Linked DNA regions of Anolis sagrei. The protein of the gene in region 1 interacts with the protein of each later gene in a pairwise test. Links are inferred from orthologs where the notes say so. Each region holds a gene or a part of one and is shown in the gene's direction. Other genes may lie near its edges.

Evidence for each region. The genes of interacting proteins can lie anywhere in the genome.
Region 2: the proteins of TRIM37 (region 1) and FAM124B interact in a two-hybrid assay, tested with the Homo sapiens proteins (2 studies listed by BioGRID and IntAct). The link is inferred for Anolis sagrei from reciprocal best matches to the Homo sapiens genes TRIM37 and FAM124B.

What each region holds. Positions count from the first base shown.
Region 1 is NC_090031.1:22,626,579-22,633,627, reverse strand, and holds the start of TRIM37 (E3 ubiquitin-protein ligase TRIM37), read left to right. Parts: upstream 1-4,025; 5' UTR 4,026-4,270; coding exon 4,271-4,291; intron 4,292-7,049. UniProt on the Homo sapiens protein: E3 ubiquitin-protein ligase required to prevent centriole reduplication. Probably acts by ubiquitinating positive regulators of centriole reduplication.
Region 2 is NC_090023.1:234,189,215-234,196,940, reverse strand, and holds the start of FAM124B (protein FAM124B), read left to right. Parts: upstream 1-4,708; 5' UTR 4,709-4,827; intron 4,828-7,726.

The sequences.
Region 1 (7,049 bases):
ATTTATAGTTCACCTACAATCAAAGAGCATTCTGAACCCCACCAATGACAGAATTGAGGCAAACTCCCCACACAGAACCCCCATAACCAACAGAAAATACTCAAGGCCATCCAGTCCAACTCCCTTCACCAGGGCAAATCAAAACCCTCCTGACAAAGAGCCATCCAGCCATAGATATAGATAGATATATATGATTCACACACACACAGTTATAGTATCATAGATTTTAAAGGGCTCCGTAAAGAAGGACAATTATACAGGGTTAGTCAAAATGCATAGGCCAATAAGCCATTCAATTGAATGGCTTATTGGCCTATGCATTTTGACTAACCCTGTATGTTGCATGTTACAGAGTAGGCAAACCAGACAATCTCCACATCAACATTGATAAAGAAACAGCAAGAAATACTGTTTACCCACAACCATAAAGAAATTAGATATATTAGAAACCAACACTTTCTCATTACTTGATTTTCCAGATCACCAGACTGGGCCACAGCAACGCCTGGCAGGGGACAGCTACTACTAATAATAATAATGAAACCTTACTTACTTACTTAGGTGATCCCTCATTGTCCGAGTAGGATTGTCTTCCAAGATCGGTGTACTTGCGGTGGTTCCGTAGGTGACTGTGAAGCCCTATTCTTGACCTGCATGTTCTCCCACAGTGAGGGCATCGGTTTCCATGTGGAAAGCAGTCCTGGTCGGGGTTGGCTTGACGCACCTTCCTCTTGGCACGTTTCTCACTTTCACCCTCCATTCTGCCTCTTCAAATTCTACAGCACTGCTGGTCACAGCTGACCTCCAACTGGAGCGCTCAAGGGCCAGGGCTTCCCAGTTCTCAGTGTCTATGCCAGAGTTTTTAAGGTTGTCTTTGAGCCCATCTTTCAATCTCTTTTCCTGCCCACCAACATTCCGTTTTCCGTTCTTGAGTTCGGAGTAGAGCAACTACTTTGGGAGACGGTGGTCGGTCCAGCGGAGTTGATAGCGGAGGAGCATCACTTCAGTGCTGGTGGTCCTTGCTTCTTCTAGCATGCTGACATTTGTTGCAAGCAGTAGTATGGGTGTTAGAAGGGGAGAAAGGGGTACTCGTGAGCAGGAGTCAGATGAGGAACAACAAAGGAAAAGGATCCGGGATATACTTATGGCACCTACCGATGAAGACTCATTCGAAGGGTTTTCCGGGGATGAAGGGTCAATGAGTGAGGGAGAGGAAGACGATACAATGGATGGGAATAGGGGAACAAAGAGGGTTACCTGAGAGCAAGAATCGGATGAGGAGCGACAGAGGAAGAGGATATATTTACTGCTCCCATAGATGAAGAATCATTTGTAGGTTTCTCTGGGAGTGATGGGTCAGGGAGCGATGAAGATGGGGATGACACGTTGGACTGGACTAAGGTAAAAGAGATACAAACTGTATGTGCAGAGCCAACGTCTAGTGATACATTTGTAGGGTTCTCTGGTAACGAGGACTGGCAATCGGGGAATACATTTGAGTCTTGTGTGGGGGAATCTAAGTCTTGACAGAAGTTGGAGAAGTTGGAGGGATGGGAGTAGGAATTCACGTGTGGAGTCAAGAACAGCTGTAAGAGATTATGATGGGGCGGAGGTCAGCTCATCTTCTGATGATGATGTGTAAGATAAAAGTAGGCTCTGAAATGGGGAATCTTTGCAGAAGGCAAGGTGTTGGTTTCGTCCGTGCATTGGGTACTTGTCGCTGCCTGTCATGTTGGTATTGGGTCCTGCATCTACAGGTTACTGCTTCCTTTCGTGTGTGTTTCTGGCCTACAACTCCCAGAAATCCTAGCCAGTTTACCAGCTGTTAGGATTTCTGGGAGTTGTAGGCCAAAAACGTCTGGGGACCCCAGGTTGAGAAGCACTGCTGTAGACCATGGCCATATAGCCCAAAAAACCCCACAACAACCCAGTAATGTTAGTTTGTGAGATTCTCAAAAACCACTGGACGAATTGACACTAAATTTAGACACAAGACACCTCTCAGGCCAACAAGTGACCACTTATAAAAACACTGGAAAACACAGCAGAAGAGACTTAAAAATAATAATAAAAGGGTGCTGTCTCCTTTCTGTTGAAATTGCCTGCATGCTTGTGGATTTCTCTGTATGGTCTGAACATAGCAAGTGGTTTATTTTATTGTTGTGTCAGAGCAACCAGTCCATTATATTACATTTCTAACAGAACAAAGTAAACAAACAGAAAGATACACAACTTGTGAATTTGGTAGTTGATTAATTGTCCTTTGACCAATATCTGTCTACTTGGAGTGCCTCTGATGTTGCTGCAAGAAGGTCCTCCCTGGTGCATGTGGCAGGGCTCAGGGTGCATTGCAGCAGGTGGTCAGTGGTTTGCTCCTCTCCGCACTCGCATGTCGAGGATTCCACTTTGTGGCCCCATTTCTGAAGGTTGGCTCTGCATCTCGTGGTGCCAGAGCGCAGTCTGTTCAGCGCCTTCCAAGTCGCCCAGTCTTCTGTGTGCCCAGGGGGGAGTCTCTCATTTTGTAACAGCCATTGGTTGAGGTGCTGGATTTGGGCCTGCCACTGTTGGACTCTTGCTTGCTGAGGCATTCCAGCGAGTGTCTCTGTAGATCTTAGAAAACTTTGTCTAGATTTAAGTCGTTGGCGTGATGGCTGATACCCAAACAGGGGATGAGCTGGAGATGTCTCTGCCTTAGTCCTTCCACTATTGGCTGCTACTTCCCGGCGGATGTCAGGTGGTGCAATACCTGCTAGACAGTGTAATTTCTCCAGTGGTGTAGGGTGCAGACACCCCGTGATAATGCAGCATGTCTCATTCAGAGCCACATCCACTGTTTTAGCGTGGTGAGATGTGTTCCACACTGGGCATGCATACTCAGCAGCAGAGTAGCATAGCGCAAGGGCAGATGTCTTCACTGTGTCTGGTTGTGATCCCCAGGTTGTGCCAATCAGCTTTCATATGATATTGTTTCTAGTACCCACATTTTGCTTGATGTTCAGGCAGTGCTTCTTGTAGTTGCAACATCAACTCCGCTGGGCCAGCCACGTTGTCCGGATGCCTGACCACCGTCTCCCAAAACAGTTGCTCTACTCCGAACTTAAGAACGGAAAACGGAATGTTGGTGGGCAGGAAAAGAGATTGAAAGATGGGCTCAAAGCCAACCTTAAAAACTCTGGCATAGACACTGAGAACTAGGAAGCCCTGGCCCTTGAGCGCTCCAGCTGGAGGACAGCTGTGACCAGCAGTGCTGCAGAATTTGAGGAGGCACGAGTGGAGGGTGAAAGAGAGAAACGTGCCAGGAGGAAGGCGCGTCAAGCCAACCCCGACCGAGACCGCCTTCCACCTGGAAACCAATGCCCTCACTGCGGAAGAAGATACAGAGCAAGAATAGGGCTCCACAGCCACATACGGACCCACAAGGAAATCCATAATGGAAGACCATCTTACTCGTCCAATGAGGGATCGCCTAAGTAAGTAAGTAAGTAAGCTTCTTGTAGGTCAGAGAACGGTCCAGAGTGACTCCCAGATATTTGGGTGTGCTGCAATGCTCCAGTGGGATTCCTTCCCAGGTAATAATCCACAGAGCTCAGGATGCTTGTCTGTTCTTGAGATGAAAGGCACATGTCTGTGTTTTAGATGGATTAGGGATCAGCTGGTTTTCCCTGTAATAGGCAGTAAGAGCACCTAGAGCTTCGGAGAGCTTCTGTTCAACCATCTCAAAGCTCCCTGCTTGAGTGGTGATGGCACGATCATCAGCATAGATGAAACTCTCTGTCCCTTCTGGCAGTGGCTGGTCATTTGTGTAGATGTTGAACATGGATGGAGCAAGCAAGTGGTGGGATTAGCCCAGCCTGCCTGGGTTCTCCAATCATATGCTCCCCCGCATGCGCAGTGCGGTCCTTTCCCGGGTTGCCCTAGCGCGCATGCGTGCTGCGGTTTCCTGGCGGCCGGCGAATGCAGCAGAGGCGGCGCGCGGGGAGGCAGTGGCGGCAGCGCATGCGCAGTGAGTGTCAGGCTGGGTCTGTTTTCTTTCCTTCCTCCCTCCCTCCGGCCCGGAGGAGCGCCTCTGAGGGGAGATGGGGGGCGGCTTGGCGGGGGGCCTGCGGGGGCCTGGGGGGCCGTGAACGCGGGAGACTCCATGGGCTGACCCAGGCGTGTGTTTGCCTCCCTCAGAGAGGCCGGCGGCGGAGGAGGAGGAGGAGGAGGAGGAGGAGGAAGAGAAGAGAAGAGAGAGAGAGGCCGAGCGGGCCTAGAGGGAGGCCGGCCAGCCATGGACGAGCAGAGCGTGGAGGTGAGCAAAGGCCTGCTTCTCATTCACGGTTGGGCCTCCCTCCACACATAGGAATCATTCACAGACGCACATTACCCTTTATACAGTCTCCTGTGCTATACTCAGAATATAAAATATTGTATATATATATATCATGTGTTTGTGTAGTCTCCTGTGCTATACTAATACTAATAATACTATACTAATACTATACTAATAATAATATACTAATAATATAATATAAGGTAATGCAACTCCAGGCAGTCATGCCGGCCACCTGACCTTGGAGGTGTCTATGGACAACGCCAGCTCTTCGGCTTAGAAATGGAGATGAGCACCACACCCCAGAGTCAGACACGACTGGGCTGCATGTCAGGGGAAAACCTTTACTAATACAGTATATGACTACTGCTAATACAATATTATATATATATATACTGTATATGTATATATATATATATATATATATATAACATGTAATATTACTAATTATCAATATAGTAATATATATATATGCTGTATTGTCGAAGGCTTTCATGGCCGGAATCACTCAGTTCTTGTGGGTTTTTTCGGGCTATATGGCCATGTTCTAGAGGCATTTCTCCTCTAGAACATTTCTCCAGGAGAAATGCCTCTAGAACATGGCCATATAGCCCGAAAAAACCCACAAGAACTGAGTATATATATGCTTCTCGTTCAGCGTTGGGCCTCCACGCATAGGAATCATTCGCAAACGCACACACACACACACACACATATTACATGTAATATTGCTAATTATAATGGTATAGTACAATATAGCAATATATATAATAATATTGTGCTATTCTAATGATATAATATATTGTATGTATATATATCATGTGTTTGTGTAGTCTCCTGTGCTATACTAATACTAATAATACTATACTAATACTATACTAATACTAATATACTAATAATATAATATAATATAAGGTAATGCAACTCCAGGCAGTCATGCAGGCCACCTGACCTTGGAGGTGTCTACGGACAACGCCGGCTCTTCGGCTTAGAAATGGAGATGAGCACCACACCCCAGAGTCGGACACGACTGGACTGCATGTCAGGGGAAAACCTTTACTAATACAGTATACGACTACTGCTAATACAATATTATATATATATATATATATATATATAATATTACATGTAATATTACTAATTATAATGGTATAGTACAATATAGTAATATATATGATAATATTGTGCTATTCTAATAATATAATATATTGTATGTGTATATATCATGTGTTTGTGTAGTCTCCTGTGCTATACTAATACTAATAATACTAATAATACTATACTAATACTAATATACTAATAATATAATATAATATAAGATAAGATAATGCAACTCCAGGCAGTCATGCCGGCCACCTGACCTTGGAGGCGTCTACAGACAACGGCAGCTCTTCGGCTTAGAAATGGAGATGAGCACCAACTCCCAGAGTCGGACACGACTGGACTGCATGTCAGAGGAAAACCTTTACTAATACAATATAGGACTACTGCTAATACAATATATATATATATATATATATATATATATATATATATATATATATAAAACATGTAATATTACTAATTATAGTGGTATAGTACAATATATTAATATATATAATAGTATTTTGCTATGCTAATGATATAATATATTGTATGTATATGTATCATGTGTTTGTGTAGTCTCCTGTGCTATACTAAGAATACAATGTTATCTATATAAATAAAAATGTAATGTTCGTTTGTGGGATTAACAGAACTCAAAAACCACTGGACGAATTGACACCAAATTTGGACACAAGACACCTAACAACCCAATGTATGTTCTTCACTCAAAAATGATTTTGTCTTTTGGGAGTTGTAGTTGCTAGGATTTATAGTTCACCTACAATCAAAGAGCATTCTGAACCCCACCAGCGATGGAATTGAACCAAACTTGGCACACAGTTCTCCCATGACCAACAGAAAATACTGGAAGGGTTTGGTGGGCAGTGTCCTTTGGTTTTGGAGTTGTAGTTCACCTACATCCAGAGAGCACTGTGGACTCAGACAGTGATGGATCTGGACCAAACTCTACATGAATACTCAATATGCCCAAATTTGAGCACTGGTGGAGTTTGGGGGAAAATAGAATCTTGACATTTGGGAGTTGTAGTTGCTGGGATTTATAGTTCACCTACAATCACAATCACAGATCATTCTGAACCCCACCAACAATAGAATTGGGCCAAACCTCCCAAACAGAATCCCCATGTGGGCCACAGCAACGCGTGGCAGGGGACAGCTAGTATATATACATAAAATATTTATAATATTATAATGTAATGCAATACGAATCTAATAGTAATACAATATTAATATATATTTTATATTACTAATATTATTACTAATAATATTACAATATGGTATTATAATATATTGTATATACATATAATATTTATAATATTATAATGTATTACTAATAATAATACAATATTATAATTATATATGTTATATCACATGTAATATTACTAATAATATTACAATATAATGGTATAGTACAGTATAGTAATATATATAATGATATTGTGCTATGCTAATAATATAATATATTGTATTGTTTATACATATAATATTTATAATATAATGTAATACAATATAATACTAATAATAATAATACAATTTTATAATTATATATTTTATTTTACATGTAATATTACTAATATTGTTATAATTTTTATAGTTTTTATAGCTTCTATGATTTTTATATGTTTTTTAT
Region 2 (7,726 bases), on another chromosome or scaffold:
GTCAACACAATAAAACATATTGTATTATGAATGTAATAACTAAAATATAGTTGTGAGGCTTAGCCTTTTCCCTTCCTGATGAAAATGGTCAAAAATAATTTGAAACATGTGTCCCTCTGCCTTTATTTTGCATTAAATCCTTAAGATAGCCAAAAATTAAAATAGTGTATAATTCCTTATGAGTTGAAAGACTCATTCCATTTTTGAGAGATCCAGTAGAGGCTCTCCAGTGGAAGAGGGAGAATCCTACCAGTTTTCCACATTTGCTCTTGTTCTGGAGGGTCCCTCATAATCTGGAGGAACGTCTCCAGGGCTACATTAACAGAAGGACAAAAGCTGTGATGTGAATGTTGTTTTTAAGAAGGAAGTCCATAATGAGATACTAACTGAGCGGCGAGGAAGTGATCTTCCAGGATCCAAAATATTGATTGTGTATTTTCAAACACAAGTACCTGTTTTGCAGTTGTATTTATTACCGTGTGCCTATGGATTTAAAAATAAATATGCCCAGGTCTCATAAATCCTGCATAAAGTGTGCATGCAACTCTTTTCCTCCCAAAAACGATGACCTGAGTCATTTAGAAGAATCAATAAGTCATTCACAATAATGTGTGCTTGCAATTTGATCCATATACAACTCAATATCAAGCAGGGGAGCCAGAATATAGTTTATACAGCAGTTTCTCGTGTATATTATAGCCTTTTTCGTTTACAACCTGCACTTAGTGCTTGCCTTTAAAGGCCTTCTTAACCATTGCTGAACATGTTTTATCATGTTCCTATTGCTTATGTCCAGTTTTACTACTGCAGGTAAGCAAAAAACCAATGCTTTCAGAAGAGGTTATGTTAGGTAATAGTTTTAAAAATTATTTCAGCACATGCAGGGAAATTGCTAAAATTGAGCTAATACATATTCCTTGAACAAGTTTATACTTGCTTTATCATTTACTGGCTGGGGAAATACCTACCAGAGGGCAAATCTGAAATATACAGTAGAAAAAGGTAAAGGTTTCCCCTCACATTAAGTGTAGTCGTGTGCAACTCTGCGGGGTGGTGCTCATCTCAATTTCTAAGCTGAAGAGCTGGCGTTGCCTGTAAACACCTCCAAGGTCATGTGGCCAGCATGACTTCATGGAGTGCCTTTACCTTCCTGCAGAAGCGGTACCTATTGATCTACTCACATTTGCATGTTTTCGAACTGCTAGGTTGGGAGAAGCTGGCGCTAACAGTGGGAGCCCACCCCGCTCTCCGGATTCAAACCACCAACCTTTCGGTCAGGAAGTTGAAGGGTATCTCAACCAGAATCACGGGTGGTGTGTGGCTTCTGGGCTGTATGGCCATGTTCTAGTAGCATTTTCTCCTGATGTTTCGCCTGCATCTATAGCTGACAATTTCAGAGAATCTCTGAAGAAATTGCTGCTAGAACACAACCATACAGTCTGGTACCTGTACTACACCATTGATATCATGTCCCCTCTCGGCTATCACCAGGCTCAACATACCCAGGTCCCTAAGCCTTCCCCTTAGTGCTTGGGTTCCAAACCTTGGTCCTTTTGTTCACCCTGCTCTGGACATGTTCCAGCTTCCAGGTGAGGTCTAACCAAAGCAGAATAGCAGACTGACTTCCCTCAATCTCAACACTACAATTAATGCACCCTAGAATCACAGTGACTTTTTTGGCTGCTGCATCACACTGTTGACTCATGTTCAGCTTATGGTCTACCCAAGACCCCTAGATCTCTTTCAGATGTACGGCTTTCACACTAGATGTCACCCATCCATTATTGATTGATTTACGTTTATCCCAAATGGGATTCAAACTGGTTTCCAGCATAAAGATGAGTATGGGGGGGGGGGGGGTGCAGTAGTGCAGCGGGTTAAACTGCTAGCTGCAGGAAAATGCTGACCAGGGGGTTGGTAGTTTGAAGCATGAGTCGGGTGAGCTCCAACTGTCAGCCCTAGCTTCTGCCAACCTAGAAGTTCGAAAGCATGCAATGCAATTAGAGCAATAAGTACCGCCTCAGCAGAAAGGTAAACAGGCGCCCCATGCAGATATGCAGACATGCTGGCAACACAATCAGATATGTGTACAGACACAGATTCCTCGGCATGGAAAAATGGAACGAGCACCACCCATGGCCAGAGTTGAGCATTGCCTCCAGGTGTCAGAGATGGAAAAAAGGGGAAGGCCTTAACCTTTGTGTTGTCTGTCTTTGTTCACTGTGTGTAAAAGACATTGAATGTTTGCCTCATATGTGTATCATAATCCGCTCTTGAGTTCCTCCAGAGAGATAAAGCGGAATATAAATAAAATGTATTATTATTATTTGAAACACAAGATGAGTCCACAGCAGACAAGATCACTATGCTGGCTGTTGTATTGGATCACACGTCGGACACTTCCCAAGTGTCTAGGACTGTTTGATGTATCGGTGAATAATGCGTGCAGATCCCAGTAAGGTGGCCTTCTGCAGCTGGCAGATGGTAATTTTGTCAGCGCCGATTGTGTTTTAAGTGCAGGCCAAGGTCTTTAGGTACTGCACCCAGTGTGCCAATCACCACTGGGACCACCTTTACTGGCTTGTGCCAGAGTCTTTGCAGCTCTATCTTTAAATTATCATATTGTGTCAGCTTTTCCAGTCATTTCTCTTTAATCGCACTGTCACCTGGGATTGCAACATCGGCGATCTATACTTTGTTTTTTAACACAATCATGAGGTCAGGAGTATTGTGTTCCAAAACTCTTGTCAGTCTGAATTCGGAAGTCCCAGAGTAGTTTGACGTGTCCATTTTCTGTAATATTTTCAGTCTTGTGATCCCACCAGTTCTTTGTCGCAAGCAGATGGTATTTGTGGCACAAGTTCCAATGAATCATCTGAGAAACAGTGTTATGCCTCTGCTTGTAGTCTGTCTTATTGTGTCTTATTGTGAATTCGGAAGTCCCAGAGTAGTTTGACGTGTTCATTTTCTGTAATTTTTTCAGGCTTGTGATCCCACCAGTTCTTTGTCACAGGCAGATGGTATTTGTGGCACAAGTTCCAATGAATCATCTGAGAAACAGTGTTATGCCTCCGCTTGTAGTCTGCTTGCGATCTTCTTGCAGGATATGATGTATTGTTTCATCTGCTTCCTTGCAGAGTCTACATTTGGGATCTGTCATATGTATGATGATGATGATGATTATTATTATTTAAAACAACATGAAGTACAAAAGTTGAAACGACATTGCATAGTATATTCAATCAATGGGAAGAATTTTACTTTTATAGTGGGGTTCCTCGCAAGGTTGTTGGATGGTCATCTTTCAGGACTGCATTCCCGAAAGATTGTGTATTCCTACCTAGCAGGGAATAGATGGTCCTTGTGGTCCCTTCCAATACTATGATTCTTTGACTAGCTTTTCCAGCCTGGTAGTATTGTTACAATATCAAGCAGTTTCCTCCTAGACAAGGCAAAGAAGACTGGAAGTGAAGAAAGTTCCTTTCTATAATTAAAAAAACCCCCTAAAAACTATAGACTTTTTATGAAAAACCACTTCTGTGATTATCTGAATGGGAGGATCAACTGAACCTGGGCCCTTTTCATAGAACATGCACTCCAGCACTGAAGGATGAATCTACCAGGCATGGGAAAACTCTGGCCCTCCAGGTGTTTTTTTGGACTTCAACTCCCACAATTCCTGACCTCAGACCCCTTCCTTTCCCCCCTCAGACGCTTAAGCTGAGGGGGGGGGGGAGGAAGGGGTCTGAGGCCAGAAATTGTGGGAGCTGAAGTCCAAAACACCTGGAGGGACAGAGTTTGCCCCATGTCTAATCTACACTGTAGAAAGCCCTATATGACTCCGGCCCAGCGTACCTGTCCGAATGTATCTCCCTCTACAACCCACCTCAAAGTTTAAGATCTTCTGGGGAGGCCCTGCTCTCGGCCCCTCCTTTGGTGCAAACACGCTTGGTGGGGATGAGGGACAGGGCCTTCTTGGTGGTGGCCCCCCACCTGTGGATCTCGCTTCCCGGTGAAATCAGGTCAACAGCATCCCTCCTTGCCTTCAGGAGGAAATTGAAAATGTGTTTATGGCAGATAATTTGACAATGGTAATAATGATAATGTTATGGAAAATGGACTATGAGCAAGCTTCCGATTGTGTTGTGCTCGCTGATTTCGTTTCTACATAAGACTATACAGCCAGTATTATTGCACATTGCACTTTTTATTAATGTTCTTTTCATTTTAAAATTAATGTACTATGTTTGATATGTAATTTTGTATGTATTATTTATATGTAATGGCATCGAATTGTGCCAGATGTAAGCTGCCCTGAGTGAGAAGGGCGGGGTACAAATGTTTGAAATAATAGTAATAAATAATAATAGAAGTAATGTAGTTTGGCATCACTTGAACTGCCATGGCCCAATGCTATGGCATCAAAGGAGTTGTAGTTTTACCTACAAGAGCTTTCTGTGCCAAACTATGCTGGTATCTCACTAAAACTACAACTCCATGGCAAAGTGGTGTCAAAACTGCTGGCACCTCACCAAAACTACAACTCCATGGCAGTCAAACTGCATGAATTCTACCTAGGATTGACAGATGCAGCCTCATCCAGCCCTGCCAATTAATGCGGAGCTGCGGGTATCATTGGTTGGATTAGCCTCCTAAGGGGGTGGGCCTTTAGGGGGTGACGTGAGAGGGAGGCGGGGCTTAAGAAACCTTGATAGGAGAACACAATCTGCGGGGCTTTCACTTGGGCTTGGATGCTGCGTCGGGTGGGGATGCTGCGGTTCGTCTCTGGCTGAGAGGAGCCATGGAAGCGAAGGCTGGATTGGGCAGGTAAGTGGGGCATGAAGAGCCCACTTGGGGCTGAAAGGAAAAGAGGAGGAGGAGGAGTGGGGGGAGGCAATCCCGTTGCCAGAGCGTTTGTTGTCGTGTTTCTAGGCGGCTGCGACAGTCGTCACTTCGCTGCTTTCCAGGCTGGGGGCGACTTCCAAACACCAGGATGGGCACCAAACTTGGGGGAAGTTCTTCTTCTTTGGGGGGATGATTGTAGGATTTGAAGAAGGGGGAAAGGACTTTGCTCCAAGCTCTAGATCAGTGTTTCTCAACTTTCCTAATGCTGTGACCCCTTAATACAGTTCCTCATGTTGTGGTGACCCCCAACCAGAACATGATTTTTGTTGCTACTTCATAACTAATTTTGCTACTGTTATAAATCGAAGGGGACTCAGAGCGGCTTACAAGATATATATATATATATATATATATATATATATATATACACACACACATACATACATACATACACATATACATACATACATACATATACATACACACACACACACACACACACACACACACATATATACACACAAACACACATACATACGATATATTATTAGCATAGTACAATATCAGTAATATATATTGCTATATTGTACTATACCATTATATTGTAATATTATTAGTATTACATGTAATATAAAATACATAATTATATTATTATATTATATTATATTATATTATATTATATTATATTATATTATTAGCACAGCACAGGAGACAAGGTGGAACTGTCGTCTGCCCCCCTCTCTCTTCACTCTGGCCCAGAGCAGCAGTTAGTGCTGGGACAAGGGGTCCCCAATTGATGACATATGTAGTGGTAGGGATTTATAGTTCACCTACAATCAAAGAGCATTCTGAACCAAACTTGGCACACAGAACTCCCATAACGAACATAAAATATTGGAAGGGTTTGCAGGGCATTGACCTTGAGGTCTGGAGTTGTAGTTTACCTATATCCAGAGAGCACTGTAGACTCAATGATGGATCTGGACCAAACTTGGCACAAATACTCAATATGCTCAAATGCAAACACTGGTGGAGTTTGGGGAAAACAGAGCTTGATATTTGGGAGTTGTAGTTGCTGGGATTTATAATTCACTTACAATCAAAGAGCATTCTGAATCCCACTGATAGAATTGGGCCAACCTTCCCTCACATAACTCGCATGACCAACAGAAAATACTGTTTTCTGATGGTCTTTGGTGACTCCTCTGACACCCCCTCACAACCCCCCCCCCCCCACGTTGAGAAACTGCTCTAGATGGGTCAATGGGAGCTTTTAGGAAGAAACTAGGAAAAGGAATATGAGAAGGGTCCGATCGTTTTGCTACACATCTTTGACCACCCCCCCCCCCCAAACTTTATAAGCATTCACACTATCAGCTCTGGATGACTAAGAATCAAAAGTAAAAACATAGTGCTGGTCCTCCATGTTTACGGATTCTGCACCCACAGATTCTACTATCCACTGCTTGAATGTGCTTGAGCCTCCAAGAGTTTAGGATCCCCAGGGCTACTGGAAACAAACTCCAGCAGATACCAAGAGCCCATCATAGTTAATACAGGTGGTACAGCCAGCATGGCATTATGGTTGAAGTAAACCTCTAGAGACCAAATACAGTCCAGCTGACACAAGGGGCGCCTTTCTCTGAGCTAGAGACCAAGGTTTGAACCTCTGTTTTGTTATGATAGTCCAGACTATTTGATGAACTGCATCTCCCACTATAGATCAATTCAGACACTGCGGTCATCGTAGGAGGCCCAGCTCTCGGTCCCACCCCTGTCTCAAGCATGGCTGGTTGGAACGAGAGAAAAGGCCTTCTCCATGGCCACCCCCCACCTCTGGAACTCCCTTCCTAAGGAGTTAAAGATGGCCCCCTCCCTCCCTGTCTCAAGAAACATCTGAAGATGTACCTTTGCTCACTGGCTAACGAAGAGGAGTAGATGGTATTTTGAATCCAGGAAGCAGGGTGAGCTCCCATCTGTCAGCTCCAGCTTCATATTCAGGGACATGAGAAAAGCCTCCCACAGGATGGTAAAACATCCAGGCATCCCCTGGGCAATGTCCTTGCAGACGGCCAATTCTCTCACACCTGAAGTGACTTGCAGTTTCTCAAGTTGCTCGTGACATGAGGGGAAAAAAAGCCTCAGAGAAAAGCAACCCCCCCCCCCCCAACCAATATGACCAAGAAAATCCTGTGATAGGTTCACTCTAGGGCTGCCATTGGTTGAAAACTTCTTGAAGGCACAGAACAAAGAAGAATTTGACAAAACCGGCGACTAGAAACAGCACAACTGCAGTGAATGCTTACAGTGCCTACAGGCTGAAACACATGATTCTAAGTATCATTGTACCTGGGGATTAATAGCATCTCTGGCCAGAGTGTGTGTGCCTTAGAAGGCTCAAAAAGTAAAAGCATACAGTTTTAGCCCTTTATGTATATCGATACAGTGTATATAAGCATGTGGAAAATGTCTTTGTAAGTATAACTAATTACAGGGATATTTCGGATACAAATAATACATTTCTGTTTGAAAAACTGCATAATTATTTTACAGCCAGTCATTTTGGTGTCAACCAGTGCAGTTCACACCCCGCTCACCTCCCAACACCACAGTGATCCTTTTTGTGTTGACATACCTTCAAGTAGACTCATGTCAAACATATTGCAGGGTTTTCTTGCCTTTGGTATCTTCTAAGGGTGAGAAAGTGCAACTTGCCCAAAATTCGCTCAGTTGGTTTCCATGGCTAAGTGGAGATTTGAGCACCGATGTCCCAATTTAATGTTCTGCCCCCTGCATAATGCATTTTAGAAGACGATTATTATTTTATTTTGCCGCAATTCTAAATGTGTAACTTGAGACTGTTTTCAGTAATTTACTTTTC